Linked DNA regions of Caenorhabditis elegans. The protein of the gene in region 4 interacts with the protein of the main gene of each other region in a pairwise test. Each region holds a gene or a part of one and is shown on either strand. Other genes may lie near its edges. The genes, in order: sox-3, K03B8.4, ceh-30 and hlh-27.

What was found.
Region 1: the proteins of hlh-27 (region 4) and sox-3 interact in a two-hybrid assay, tested with the Caenorhabditis elegans proteins (one large-scale study listed by BioGRID).
Region 2: the proteins of hlh-27 (region 4) and K03B8.4 interact in a two-hybrid assay, tested with the Caenorhabditis elegans proteins (one large-scale study listed by BioGRID).
Region 3: the proteins of hlh-27 (region 4) and ceh-30 interact in a two-hybrid assay, tested with the Caenorhabditis elegans proteins (one large-scale study listed by BioGRID).

Annotation. Positions count from the first base shown.
Region 1 is NC_003284.9:14,690,288-14,694,706, reverse strand, and holds sox-3 (Transcription factor sox-3), read left to right. Parts: upstream 1-1,707; 5' UTR 1,708-1,711; coding exon 1,712-1,915; intron 1,916-1,972; coding exon 1,973-2,098; intron 2,099-2,148; coding exon 2,149-2,457; 3' UTR 2,458-2,473; intron 2,474-3,702; 3' UTR 3,703-3,877; downstream 3,878-4,419. UniProt on the Caenorhabditis elegans protein: Probable transcription factor. Involved in the terminal differentiation of some neuronal cell types. Dispensable for neuronal fate commitment during embryogenesis.
Region 2 is NC_003283.11:11,394,220-11,396,786, forward strand, and holds K03B8.4 (uncharacterized protein), read right to left. Parts: upstream 906-2,567; coding exon 796-905; intron 748-795; coding exon 567-747; downstream 1-566. Other genes in the region: Zinc metalloproteinase nas-18, read left to right, coding at 2,215-2,379.
Region 3 is NC_003284.9:3,061,633-3,066,119, reverse strand, and holds ceh-30 (Homeobox protein ceh-30), read right to left. Parts: upstream 2,547-4,487; 5' UTR 2,415-2,546; coding exon 2,231-2,414; intron 1,955-2,230; coding exon 1,699-1,954; exon of another isoform or gene 1,494-1,698; intron 1,386-1,493; exon of another isoform or gene 1,236-1,385; intron 1,233-1,235; exon of another isoform or gene 1,087-1,232; intron 1,033-1,086; coding exon 759-1,032; 3' UTR 569-758; downstream 1-568.
Region 4 is NC_003280.10:5,538,571-5,542,012, forward strand, and holds hlh-27 (BHLH domain-containing protein), read right to left. Parts: upstream 1,644-3,442; 5' UTR 1,640-1,643; coding exon 1,482-1,639; intron 1,426-1,481; coding exon 1,195-1,425; intron 1,148-1,194; coding exon 730-1,147; 3' UTR 505-729; downstream 1-504. Other genes in the region: C17C3.24 (uncharacterized protein), read right to left, coding at 2,434-2,517, 2,943-3,005.

The DNA.
Region 1 (4,419 bases), on a different chromosome or scaffold from region 4:
TCCGCCAGCTTTGTCTTTCCCATTTTTCCCTTTCTTTTCTCAATTCTTGTAAAAATAATAGTTTTTGTCATGTGAAGTGTATTGTTTTTTGTGTGAGTAGCTAATGTTTACAGGAGAGGGGTACTGTAGAATTTCAAGGTACAGGGTGAGGTACGGAGGTAATGAGTACAGAGAAAATGTAGTCTAGAACGTGAAACATTACACATTTTCCAGTTAGAGGTACAATAAGGGACTCAGTTCTCATATACATATGCCTCATAACTCATATACATATGCTTGAAAATTAAAAATAGGATAACAGTATTTAAGCATGAGCATATGCCTTATAATGCTATAATTTCCAAATATCACTGTAAAACGTTTTATATATACACAGTCAAAAAGCTTTTACCTATCATAATTTTGAAGTCGACCAAAAAACTTTTTCACTAGGAGTAGTATATTTTAATTTTTTTCCAATTGTTTTTAATAGTAGTTCAAACAAGCGGCAATACTCTAAGTACCTTGAAGCCCAAATTTTTCATATATTAAACAATTTACCAAAATTTGATTGCAAAGTTTGTTAAATCTAAAGTTTTCAATTTTTTCCTATAACATTCAATCACGTTGGATTATCTTAAGTTTATCCATACTAAAGATACTCTACATATTTATTAAAATTTCAAATTGATTTTGAAAGTTTTGATACATCATTTAGGTATTTAAAAAATCTAGTTTTATAGATTTTATATATAAGTTTCTGAATACGTTCAGGTAACAATTTAAAAATTTGTTGAGCTCAAAAACATAATTGTGCTGGAAACCATAAAAATTTTGAAATGGATTTAAATTAAGGATTTAACACGTTTGCAATTTTTTGAAATTTCTTGCCTTGCGTCCCGTCCAACTCTGTTCGGAGAGGGGTCGGAAGTGAACAATCAACATTCTAAACAGAACACGAATTTACACATTTTCAACATTAAATATTGTGCCCCATCGTCCATCGTCAACCGTCACTTTTCACCTAACTTTCCTCTGTAAAAAGTTCGATCTAAAACATTGTATCATCCAAAGTATCAGCACGATGTGTTTGTTAGCACAGTGTCATATGATGTCGAATAAGAATTCATGGAAAAAAAAAACGTGTTTGGTTTTTCTTGTATTCGTTTTTGAAAATGCTCAAACTAGGTATTCAGTGTTCCGTTATTATTAGAAAAGTCGTTTTGCTTCACTGAACTAAACTAACTAGGAACTCTTGAATAACTTTTGAAATATTGAGAATTTGCAAAATTAGTTCACAGTTCATGCTTGACTTCATTCACCTTCCTACGAGTTCTTGCAATCATTATATCAGCGTAAGTTGCTATTTCAGTAGGGTCACATAGGAGCCATCTTGAGTATCAATTTCGATTACCGTATTTCCTCGCAACTCATTTTGGCTCCGCCTACTGTCTCTCGTCTATTTGTGCGCCGCCTCTTGTTGGCCACTGAGACGAGGGAGGACACGCATAATATAGCACGCGTCTGTCTCTCTTTCTTTTTTTTTTCGGAAATTTACCATTTCCTCATTCAGGTTTTCTTTTCTCTCTTACGTTTATTTTATGAGTAGGGTTTCCAGTTCTCGGTTTCTAGTTTCTTGTTTTCAAATTATTTCCAAAGTTTTCCCGAAATTATTTGTATTTGGTATTAATTTTTTCAAAAGTTTTGTTAGCATACATTGTCTTTCAGCGGTATGACTGACCTCTCTTGTCTGTATCCTTCACTTTTATGCACTGAAGCTGCAAAAACATCTTATGACGAAGACACAACGTCTGTTTCATCTGGTTTAAGCCCTCCGGGCTCTCCAGTCGATCTACAAAACTCGCTGGATCATGTGAAACGGCCGATGAATGCATTTATGGTTTGGAGCAGAGGACAGAGAAGGAAAATGGCACAGGTGCATTTTAAATATTTAAATTTTTTAGGTTATTATGTAAGTAAGTAATTTATTCAGGATAATCCAAAAATGCACAATTCCGAAATAAGTAAACGGTTGGGTGCAGAATGGAAACAGCTATCAGAGCAGGAAAAACGACCATTTATTGATGAAGCAAAACGGCTCAGAGCTTTACATATGAAGGTAGTTTAATTACATTTTTCAATAGTTATATTATTAATTTCTATACTCAGGAGCACCCAGACTACAAATACCGTCCACGAAGAAAGCCAAAATCCTCCAATCTGAAGCAACAACCTCGTTTGAACATCGCCATGCCAACCATCCCGCCACAATCACTTTTCAACTATTCCACAGCATTCGACTCATTGAAAACCCATGACCTCTCCCAATACTACTCATCATTCTTCCAATCGCCCGTATTATCCGGCTCAACCTATGCTCCATACAATATGATGGCTGCTTATGCGAGACAAGCTGCAGCCGTGGCTGCTGCAAGTCAAGTGTCGGCTTCAACAACGCCAACAGCTCCTGCCACGTAACTTGCTGAATTGTCATGTACGTTACACTTTTTTTTGAATTGTTTAATAAGGTATAGGTATTTTGAATTAACAGAAAAGAGAAATGTTGATCTTTGAAGAGCCACATAAGAGTAAAAAATGTATCATAACAATATATTAGTCATTTCTGTATTTCTAAAATTTCTAGAAAAAGTCTTATATATGTGTTATTGACATTCAAAACTTTGAAACAAATTAATCGGTGTAGCTGAAATCCCAAACTACCGCAATCCCATATTACAGTAGTTGATTCCATTTTTGTTTTATTTTTAAAAAAAGTTACAGTCGATAAATACACAAATGTGTTGCTTATTTTTGTGAGCTTATCGACAAAAAATAAGTCAGCGGCTGTAATGAACAAGCTACCCAAATTTGAAAATATTTTATTTGAGGCTTTCCATATCAAAACTTGAATACGCAATAATAATTTTTGAAAAGTTTTAACATTAAAATTTAGTAGTTTAGGCTCACAATATTTGAGAAATTTTGAAATTTTTACTTTTAAAGATTAAGTTAATTTTAACGGTAGGCAAAGCTTTTGGGAAGAATATATCTTACGGTTTTTGTTGGCTTGATGTTCCGTTGAACTTCTAGTTGACGTTTTGCTCTTAATTCTTATCTAGTCTTGTTTCAAACTATACAAATCGCCCAACAATTTACTACACTTCAATTTTCAAATATCAACTTTCCCACAAGTCATTCATTCCTTTTCTTCCGCTATAAAGACATTAGGTGGTCGGTCACTTGTTTCCGACCGAAATCGGTTCATAACCATAAGAAACGCGTCCAAGTGTAAAACCCTCCTTTCCCCCTTCTCTTTTTGAATTAACACCACCACTAAATTCGACTCCCGCCAATTTGTGTATTGTGCACCTCGCGCACTTCCGGTTACACACGGTTACATTGTTCCATGCCAAATTCTTATTATTTTCACTTGAAGTGTATCGGTTTGATTTTTTCCAACACACAAAAAATGAATGAATGAAAAGGTGTGAGTGTATCATGCGCGAATAAGTCGAATAAGTCGCGCGCTTTGTGTTGAAATGTACTGTTTACTGAATGATTGACATATGTGTGCAGTTTAGATTTGAAGATGAGCAATGATTCCATTTTCTTATCGCTTTCGGAGAAAAGACAATAAAAATGACTCAGAATAATGATGAATAGTCTATATGTGTTTGGGAATTGTGTTTTACTTTGTATTTTAAACTACCATCTGATTTTCAGGTTTGCTCAATACCATGCTTCACCTTCAATGAGCAGAATCTCCCTACAAATGCCATACAGACAAATTGATTCTAATTTTTCGATAATTTTGATTCGAATGTGCTATGTGCAACCTACCTGTACTTTTCTATTTTGCTGTATCTTCCATAAATGAAATATAAAATTTTGTGAAGAAATAACTACAAACTTTGGGTTTTATCAATTTTATCTATTTGTCAGCTGCACTCAAAAGCTCATCACCAGGATACGGTATTTTTTTTAACGGTTGTTCAAAGTGTGCCTGCCGCAAAAGTGTACAAGAATAAATAGGCGCCCAATGTAATGTTAGTATTCAATTTTTGCGACTTCTATTGTACAACAAATTCAATACAATAGATTGAATTGTTCAAGAACAAACTTCCAATTCATTGTTGGTTGAAACGAATGAATAGAATCAAGGAAGGAAAGAAGGTATTCAACAACTTTTACTCCTCTCTCCTTTATTTTCACCCCCACTGTCCCTTGCCATTGATATTTACCATTTGCTGTCCCCTGTCACCTCCTCTGTCATTGACGACCGATACCCCCATGGAGTTACATTTTTTTTTTCGTTGAGGTTGCCTGAACAAAGAGAACAATGTCCGCACTTAAAACGCCTAATCAAATCGGTTCACACGCTGAGAAAAAAGTTGAGGGAAGTCTAAACCATTTCATGGTCATTTGTTAGATGGAAATTTA
Region 2 (2,567 bases), on a different chromosome or scaffold from region 4:
GACGAGGGTGCGACTGGCGCGCGGACGGGGCGCGACTAGGCTACTGTCTCGCGATCTAGTCGCACAATTTTCGCGCGCCGAGCGCATTTCTTTCGCACACACTACGCGCCCGGTTCGATTTTATTCTCGCTCCCGCCGATTTTCATATTGAAATTGAAATCTTAGATTAATAAGAATTGCATTTATTACAACAACGAACAATGGAAAAACAATTAAAAAATAAATTAACAGATTGAAGACAGCTTGGCTGCAGGCCAATTGATCCCTAGACGGCGGGAGACTGGTGTTGCTGATCATCATCCTCTCTGAAAAGCTCAAATTAATCTATTTAATTAAGTCAGTATATTGAAAAAATCAATGAAATATCTTTAAAAATAGACTTACACAATTATGCCCGTGAAACGGCAACTAGAGCAACCTATTGCTTCAAAAATGTTTTGATCAAAAGCTACGTATTTGCAAATATGTAGCTTCGCATCTTCAAAGCTCAAAAATAGTCTCATCAATTTTTTGTTACTTAATTTAATTCAAAGTTATCATTTCATGGTTTCCTATATGTCATTTTGTTATTCGTTTAATATTTTACATTGTTTTACTAGCTGGTTTTCTTTAGCAATAATTCGTTTTTTCTTTACCTGTTTTGAGTCCACATACTTCTTCTTTTTTGGCAATGGAGCCTTAATTTGATCGAACACCAAGATTTGCTCCAATTCATGTCGCTTCTGGTTCACCTTTTGGAACATGTATCTGAAAAAAAACTTTTTAATTTCTAGAACCCCCGAAAAACATTAATACCTTTGAACTCCTTCCTCTGTTTCAGGTCTCACGTAGGATTCAGCGAATCTTTCGGCTTCAAGATCCCCGCTCAGCTCGTTCATAGTCTTCAGGTCCGAATTCTGGCTCATCACCCAGCTTTTGATGAATTCTGCGGGCTCGGTGTAGAATCTTGCGTAGAAATCGCGGCGAGCCTTCAGTTCGTTGATCTGTTCGATAATATCATAACACTTTTGATCAAGAGTTATATCATTCCATAAATCACTTTCATTAATCTCATTCTATTCACTCTGGAATAGCAGGAGCCGCAGGCTGCTCATCGAGAAGTGGTGTTTCTCGAACATAAGCCAATTTTGGACGGATTGTCGTTCGTGTTGCGCGAACGGGGCGCGGAAGGGGTGCGGAAGGAGTGCGGAATGGGCGCGGATGGGGCGCGGTCAGAACGCGGACGGCGTGCAAAAACAGTTTCTCTTCGCGAACCTGTTACTTTCAGACAGCCTCATTGCCAAAACAGGTTGATATATATATATATATATATATATATATATATATATATATATATATATATATATATATATATATATCTCTTCACTTATATGTTATATATGTATGAATGATGTAGTTGATATATAATAATTGCCAATCTAGTCTCTTTCAGCTTTCAGTAATATGGTGCCACAATACTAAACGTATAAAATACAACAACGAGACATGTGATCTAGAAAATTAGTTTGAAGATGTTCACACAAACTACACATATCTTTTATATCTTTCTATTGGAAAATATACCTGGCATTTAGGGGCAACTTTCTTAGGAATGTGTGCATCGTGCCTCCACAATGCCAATGCTGCGAGTTTCCTAATGGAGACATTCTCAAGACATCGCCTTAACTTTATCTGCATAGGTAAAATGAACATATTTTATAACGTAACATCATTAGATAACAGTACGATTATTGATAGATTTTAATACAATTTCCTTGTAAGATGAACCATATTGTTCTCTTCTAACCTCATATCAGAATTTAAATTGAAGTTTTGGTTTTTCAGTAACTAGCATGGCTGCAAAACGTTTACAATTAACGTATAGAACAAACACAATTCACTTTTGTGTGAAAATATGTCTCAAAGCAATAATATGTTCGCAAGAAATTGATTAATACATCTTATGTAGACACTTTGGCAGTTTCAGAATACTCTTTTCACAATCCGAGCGCGCCTGTTCCGCACTCCAGTCACGCCCTATCCTCGCGCCAGGCGCATTTCACCTCTTTTCGCGCGCCAGTCGCACCCCCTTCGCGCCCCAGGAGGAGCCAACTACCGAGTAGTGCAAAATTATTATATTGCTTTGATTCTTCATTCAGTAAGTTCTATTATATTTTGAAGTAGTGAAATACAACTTATAAACATGTACTTTGAGGTACTGAAAAGCGAGAATTGATGCTTTTCTCCATGAACTTCATATCTTCACAAACTTGCGTGACTTTTGAAGAAAACTGTTCAATTCCTAACAGGGTCCAACTTGTTAACGGTAAAGGCTGTTCATCATACATTGGGATGAATAACATAGTACAACATCTAACATTTAACGATACGTGCATAGACGTGAGTTTTTCTTTCATTTCGACATACATATGTATATTTCCGTTTCTCGGCGTTCACGACCAACTTAATGTTTATGTGTTGCCTTAACAGTGTGAAAAAAGTGGATTATTTTCTGGTAGTGGTGGGCATTTTCTAGAAACTGCAAACTATTTCCAACTAAATCAATCATTCATTTCAAGTGATTCAAG
Region 3 (4,487 bases), on a different chromosome or scaffold from region 4:
TATCAAGTTAACAACAAATTTGTATATATTCGCGCCTGTAGCAAGCATTTTAACTGAGATCGTGGCGAGACCCACTCAGAAAAACAATTTGTGCCTTTACTATGAATGTCAAAATTTTGCTAAATTACTACATATCATTTTTGAAAAAAAATTTTGGAAAATTTTTATTGCGAGAAATGTTTATTGTTACTGGTGAAAACTGAGTTCGATTCACACAAAAGTACCAAAATTTCCAATTTCTATTTGAAAGGTTTTATCATGATCTTTGGACATTTGAACACCATAGAAATAAGTTTTACTAATTTCTCCACATTTTTTGAAAAAGTGAGCTAGGAACCGTCTGTCAGGTAAAGGTATTTGTCGAACAGGTGAGGTGTTAACGACGCCTGCCAAGTATTCTATCTCACATATTTACCTCTTCCGTCGCGATAAAATCAGAACGGTTGCGCCACTCGCCAACACCTGGCGCTTCTGGCACGTCTTGTGTTCATTGTATTTTTGAATGCCCCACCATCTCCAGTTTTCTTATCAGATTTCGGAAATCGTCATCATCCACGAACAGCATAATAAAATAATAATATTATTATTAATGACGTGGAAATGACATAATCAAGCAAAATAAAAATAACACAAGCGATACATATGCAATGTTGTGAAAAAAAGAAAGCGTCTTCTCCCTATCTAACCCATTGAGATCGGTTTTTGTGACTTTAATTGAAAATATTACATACAAATTTTAAAAATTAACACAAGAAATACTATTCTGAGTTGCTGGAAACATCCAACTGAGGGGATTCACTGGATATGTGAGTGGATGGAGAATTTGAAGAGGAGGAAGGCTGGAAAGCATGGGCTGGGGGAACAATCATAGACATGGGTAGGCCCATCATCGGTAGCTGAGTGCCCATAGGTAAGGCTGTGATATAGTTGGCCCAATATGGACTGCTTCTGATCAAGTTCTGAACTGCGGAGAGGTTTCCAGGTTCCGATAGAAGATCCATTCCACTTGTTGCCTGTCGCTTCCATTTTGTTCTATAAAAAACATTAAGTAATTTGAGTAATTTGAATTGCCGTATTTTGTTCCACTAGACCGGACGTCTTCACTTTTCACATCTTAATTTTTGAGTGTCCCGTTATTGTAATAATGATGTTTTTATGTCGCAACTAGATATATTATATGTATTAACCACCACTTGACTATATTCGGATTAATTCAACGCTGCCGAACCTTGGGACCAAAAGCAGGTGATCTGCCTCTTAGCGGACTCATACGCCTCATTATTGTGCAAAAGAGCAGGAGACCACCCCGGCGATAACTACACAACAATAGCGACGTTTTGAAAGGTTTTCCAGATTGTGAATGCATGGATACATTTCAAAAGAGGCACAAATTCGTCTATCCACTTCATTCACCAATGAAACCGATACTAAAAGCTGGTGAAAATTTGATGATGACGACGATGATGATGCTCTGATGACAAGTCATCACATCAAATATTCACATAGAACACCGCCGCCTTGAACAATAATTAGGAAATGTGAGCGTGGTTGGTGTAGTAATCTACAAGGGTGGGCTCAATTGGCGGCTACGCTTGTTATTAATTTGAGAATGTACATATGTATGTTAAGAATTGACTCTGCTACCAACGATAATTCCAACGATAATTCCAACGATAATTGAAAGACGTTATTACTAACCTTCTATTTTGGTACCACGTCTTGACTTGAGTATCAGTGAGACCCATTCTGTGCGCCAAATCCATCCTGTCCTGGACTGATAGATACTTTTGCTTTTCAAATGTATTCTCCAACTCTTGCAACTGCTTGTCAGTGAAGATGGTTCTTGCCTTCCGAGATTTTTTGCAACTGCCTGGACTACCCATTCGATCGCCGCCGGGGCTGCTTGCTCTTGGCGAAGTTGAAAAATCAGATTTAATTGATTGTGGCGATGGGTCTGAAAGTTGATGGTTATTGATGCACAAAAAGAACAAAACAAAAGATTGACCCCGGAAGAGAACTGTATTCATATGTTCATTAAGGCATTAATCCTTTTACCCCCCCCCCCCCCTACATTCAAACTATCATTTCCGGGTAGTCACCATTGAGAGGAGAAAATCGAGAGCATGGTTGAGTAAATTTTTGATGGGTAACGCGCCGCGCACAAAACTTTTAATGGCTGTCGTTTTGAATGTTTGGAATTTTGGAATCAATTGCAGGTGTAATGACTTACCGTGATCGTTTGAATGGGATGAATTGTTTGGGGATTGCTCGAGAATGTCAGAAATGCGGAATGAAGAAGAAGACGAAATTTTGTTGCACGGGGAAGTTGAAGCTGCTTGAGCTAGAAGTGCTTGTGTAGTCGGATCCAGATAAAAAGCGGGAAGCAGAAACTGCCGAGGGTCGAGAAGTGACATTTTGGGAAGTGAGTGGTACTGTAGAAAAGTGTTAAACGAATGCTTTGCACGTTCGAAAGTCGGGAATGCGACACTGTTGAAGGCACCGATGATTGGTTATTGTCGGACGATGAGGGGTGACTATAAGACAAGTTAAATGTGCGAGAGTGGGCGGGGCGACGGCCTGGCAATTTGGGTGAGAGAAGAGGGTGCGTTGACATTGGGAAGGATGATGCAGCAGCAGCTACCACCACCGCCCTCCTAAACATGGTCATGACAATTACACTCGATTTTCGAGATCCAACGCCACATGAGAAGTCAATTATTTGTATTTAATAACACGAAATCTATAACTTGACCTTTCATTTTGCACATCTCAGATGATGCGGGGGAAAATGATGGCGAAAATGAGATGGGGGAAGATGGTTGGGAATAGCTGCACACTGCGGCTAATTGGAGCAACCTGTCAAACGGTGGTTCTAGGGAAACATTTGATGAATTGTCAAACTTGGAAATAAACAATATGGAATATTATTCTGCCAAAGCTGGATATCGAACTCTAATTTTCAGGTTGGTGCTCGAAATGTTAAAGTTTCATTTTCACAGTTTTTCACTTACTTGCAGAAAGACCATCTTACTAATCTCCATATATAAGCTTAGTCGGTTTGTTTTTCACAAAATCGACAAAAGGTTACTCAACGTATTTTTCGGCAAAAAAAAGTTATAGAAGTTACGGTAAATTTTTGTTACGAATCACGATTTCAGTAACCTGTAGAAATACGGTGATTGTTTTTTATTTAATTTCAAATAATTTCAATCATTGTTGTAAACACTCTGTTTCCTTTTTTTCTGAATGAATACATATTTTTGTCGCTTTTCTCAAATTAGTTCTGTTTATAGTTTCATTTTCCCCCAAAACACGTAATGTTGCAATAGAGTTTCAGAATAAGGCCACTTGCCGATATTATGAACAATCTTCGCTCTGTCCTTGAAACAATGCATTTTCACATCTTAACCAGACACAAAAATAATTTGAAACTGCAAAAAGCGTTAAAATCCCATATTCGGAGTGACAAAACCCATGTAATTAACATCCACCGATTCCTATATTTCGAAGAGAAATCTACTCTGAAGTGTCGATTAATTTTGCATACTAACCGTCAATTACAAAACAAATAAAATGGTTTTTTGTTTCGCGATTCCAAGCCGATTGGCATGGAAGGACATTCAGCTAATTTTCGACCGCCCAGCTATGTACATAGACATGTTTCAAAGTCATTGCGTTCCTCATTCCGCCAGCAGTTGTTTTATTTGATAGTTCACATAAATCATTCTCATTAGCTCTTTCTTCTACTTATATATTTGCTACCTTGGTAATGTTGAGAAACAAGATGATCGTTCCGTCCTTGTATATTTAGAAGAGGTGCAAAAAGCGGAGACACTTTCAACTCAACGTAGCGTAAAATATTGGGCGCGCAGGAAGATTGACTGGAAAACGATACAGTTACAAATTGAAAAATGGGAAGTTGAAAAAAAAAGGAAAATTGGAAGTGGAAATGAAAATGCATTAGAGATAATTGTCATTTGCCATTTCCCCCACTCTTAATTGTGAACATACATCTTGACACCCAGTAACAAGAAAAAAGCTGGCAATATGAATATGAGCTTGTTTAGGAGACAGAAGCCGCCTTTGAAATCTCCCGGGTAAGCAGGTTCTATTACATAATATCGTATCCTTTCCATACAGCTCATTACAATTGCCAACATAAATAATTAGATTAAAGGACACTCCCGGAAAGGTGTCGCAGACCGGTGGGACCAGCACACACGTGGCTGCTCTATTGTGTTCTGTTGCGCAATAGAGACGCTTCTTTTTTTTTGACAATGGCAATTGAGACCAGGTAAACGACTCCTTCAAGTGTGTGAAGCGGTGTTTATCAAAGCCACCCGGCAATTGTGTCCTTTTTAGGCACCTTTTTATGTGACATGTTGACTTATAGCTTGCACCGATCAGCGGCAGGTTAACGAATACAATTGATGGAACTGCCGGAAGTGTCAGGTTATGGATAAATTTGAAGAGTTATATAGATAGTT
Region 4 (3,442 bases):
ATTTAAGAACTAGTCATTTATGTGATATATTCTGTAAAGATGCCAGAAGGCCAGATTGGGTTATCACTTAGAATTGAAAATAAGAATAATAGTTTTTATTTGAGAAAATGTGTTTTTCTAGGTTCTACATGCTCGTCGATTTCACCAATGCAGCTCTTCCCTGGAAAAATGTAAATGAGATTGGCGAGATTGGTGCGATGAAGAAGAATTCCCGCTTCCAACCGATCATGGGCCAATTCCTTGCTGGCTGCCCAGATGAATTTCGCTTGATTATGAAGTGAGTCTCTACCAAAGCTGATTTATTCGTAATTTTCCATTTCCAGCTATATCGACAGTCTTTCGTTCTTCAAGGAGCCCGATTATGAGATGATCTATACAACACTGCAAAAAGTGATGCTAGACAAGGACATTGAAGAGTTTCCGTATGACTGGGAGATGGAATTTGGTGTGGACTAATGGAACTTTGATTATACATACTTGTCTTGCTTGTATTCTGGCTAACAAATTTTACCGAATAAACATTCATTTTCAAACAGAATAATTTAGACAAGACTATCACGTGAGTAGTAAAAAATCTTCAAAAATAGATTGCGACGCGATGGGATGAAAAAGTTCGGGAATATTGGCCATAGAAAGATAAAAAAATGAATCAAAAACGCAATATAGACAATGAAGATTTTCGAAAAATTGCTCAGAAACTAATTGTAAGATCTGGAAGAACTTGATAGACTAGTTACTAATATCGACGGTTTCTTCATTTTCTTCCTCGTCACTAGTTTCTGGTGTTAAGATTTGAAGTGATGGAAGAATGAATCGGAGGGGAGCAGAAAATATTGATGGAACGGTGTTGTAGTTTGACAAGACATTGAACTGAGTAGTTGGGATCATTGGAATACATGGAAATGTGAGCAATGGAGAAGTAGATGTTGGGGATTCTTGAACTTCTTGAAACGTCAATCTTGGGAAGAGATCCTTCACTTCCATTCGTGTTTTTGGCTTTTCATTCTCTTTGTTCTCACAAGTAGCAGTTGATTTTCCAGCTAAAAGAGGAAGTATTTGGGGAATTGTTTCTGGATACAGAAGATCGGAATTGTGTTTAATGTAATCAATGATGATTTCTAGAATTGTGATCCGTTCAAGTTTTAATCTGAAAATAATTTTTTGAATTTTTATTAGCCATAATGAAACTCTTACCGTTGCTCGTAACTTCCCATTTGTTTGTTCAAAATGAAGAATTTCAATTCAGCATAACAGTCATCTTGTTTCTTTCTTCGAATCTTTTCACGTTCAGTCTTCACTTTTCTTCTTTCGGATTCAGTATCAAACTTCCGTCTTGTAGATTCGGAGAGGTCATTCGATGAGAAATTAGATTCCAGATTAACTCCAGTCACAAGTTTCACAATTCGGAAGAGAACTACTTCTTGTCTAAAAAATGAATTAGTTTAATAACTATTTTAAGCTAACAGAGTATTTAAACTTACGATATATGTTCTTCTTCTGATTTTTGAACAATCGTCTTGCATTCGTTAATCAACTCGTTTGTAATATTTCTTCTTTTCCGTTCAGATCCTGATTTTGGAGTTTGATTGTATGGGACGGAACGATAATCGCTCATTGAAGATGGGATAACTTTTGGCATCTGAAATTTGATAAGTTTTAATCTTTTTAAAATCAAGAAGAAATCTAGAATTTATAAAATTTCAAGATGAGCCGTTAAATAAAAGGAATAATTGTGACAAAACAGAAAAATGAGACCAAGAAAGCAGCACAAATTGATTTAGTTTAGTGAGATAACTCGTGCTGTTTTTCTAGAAGTATACAGTTCACTGAATGCTTTAAAAGTAATTGATCAAAATCAGTACACTTTCCTGATGTTACAATTATCAAAAAGTATACTAAACCAGCAGACCAGTGATCCACCAAGAAAGTAAATGAACAATGAATAAATGGTTACCTTTTATAGTTCCATTATTGTTCAGAGGGTGGAGCTTTGTATCAAGCGTTTGGAGCCATGGGAATTATTCTGAAATCTCTATTTTTACAGTCCCCATCATGGGTTCCCATGGTTCATCAGTGAGGTTCTCATGAGAACGAGGCTGGACATCTCCAGTTTTGTCTTGGGACCATGCGAAACTAGACGACTGGATATCGATTGGGTACTGCCTGGGAAATTCCGGCTGAGACTGTGAATTAGGATATTGGCACTGTGTTAATTTATTCTATAAGTTTATAGTAGTATCAACTGTACCGGATGAACAACATTTTAAACAGAAATATCTCGAAAAGAAATAAAATAGGAGAAAACAACTGAAATTATTTTGCCAGTAATTCTAAACAAGATTGATTTGCAACAGTTTCTTCGAACATAATTTTTATATAAGAAGATATCTATTTTGAATTGACAGTGGTCAACAGAATAAATATGGAGAACAATCATATTGGAAGAGCTGGAATGCAAAAGTGAGAGGAAATTGATTTGAGCTCTTCGATTATGGACGCAAAAATGGCATGGCGTGACTGAAACGACATAAGTTTGAAAGTTGATAGGACGATTTATAATATAAATTGTGTTCCCTGTTTGCTCCAATGATATGAATTTCGGCAACAGTATCACTACAGTATCACGACAGTAGCCTTATAATAACCCGCCAATAAATTCATTTGATCTTCGCTCATGATCTCAGAAACGATTTTTAGTTTTATTACAATTATCATACAGTATCATGATAACAACGGAGATTGCCCGTGGAATAGTTCAGCTACTGGAATATTGGCTACAGTAATCCTATGGCAGTAGCTATGACCTTAAATATACTCACATCTGTCTCCCAAATTACAATTTTTTATTTTTTATTCTTTAATATATTAAGCCATAAATTTCATCGTACAACGACGGAAGACAATTTTTGGAAACTTGCCGAGTCAAAATTATCATGACTCACCTTGGAGATCGTGGAGGAAGCCAGATCATTTGTGGCAATCTCTTCCTGAAGGCGGGTTTCCATAATTCTCACAGATGTCTTGAAACGGTCCTAGGCATTCTAGAAATGTAATGTGATGACGAATAAATGTATATTTCTAACCTTCCGGATTATCTCCAAAAGAGCCTTTGCTCGGTTATATGTGGCACGGTCGACGCCATTGGCGGTCTGAATATAAAAGATGAGTTGAATTTCAGAACGAGATTGAAATACTCACCTTTTTCATTTCACTTCTTGCCTCTTTTTGAAGCTTTCTGCGGTCCATTTTGTAGCAGATGTGAAGGTAAGATCTGAAACTATGAGCAATAAATTAATAGCGAAGTCAAGTCAAGTGATTGAATGTAATTGGTGAGGAAATTAGTATTCAATTTCAATCAAAATCACTGAAACTGATATTTCCGTTTTCAGTGTTCCAAAGTGTACCAATTGCCAACTAAAAGGTTATGTGAACAAACTTTCAA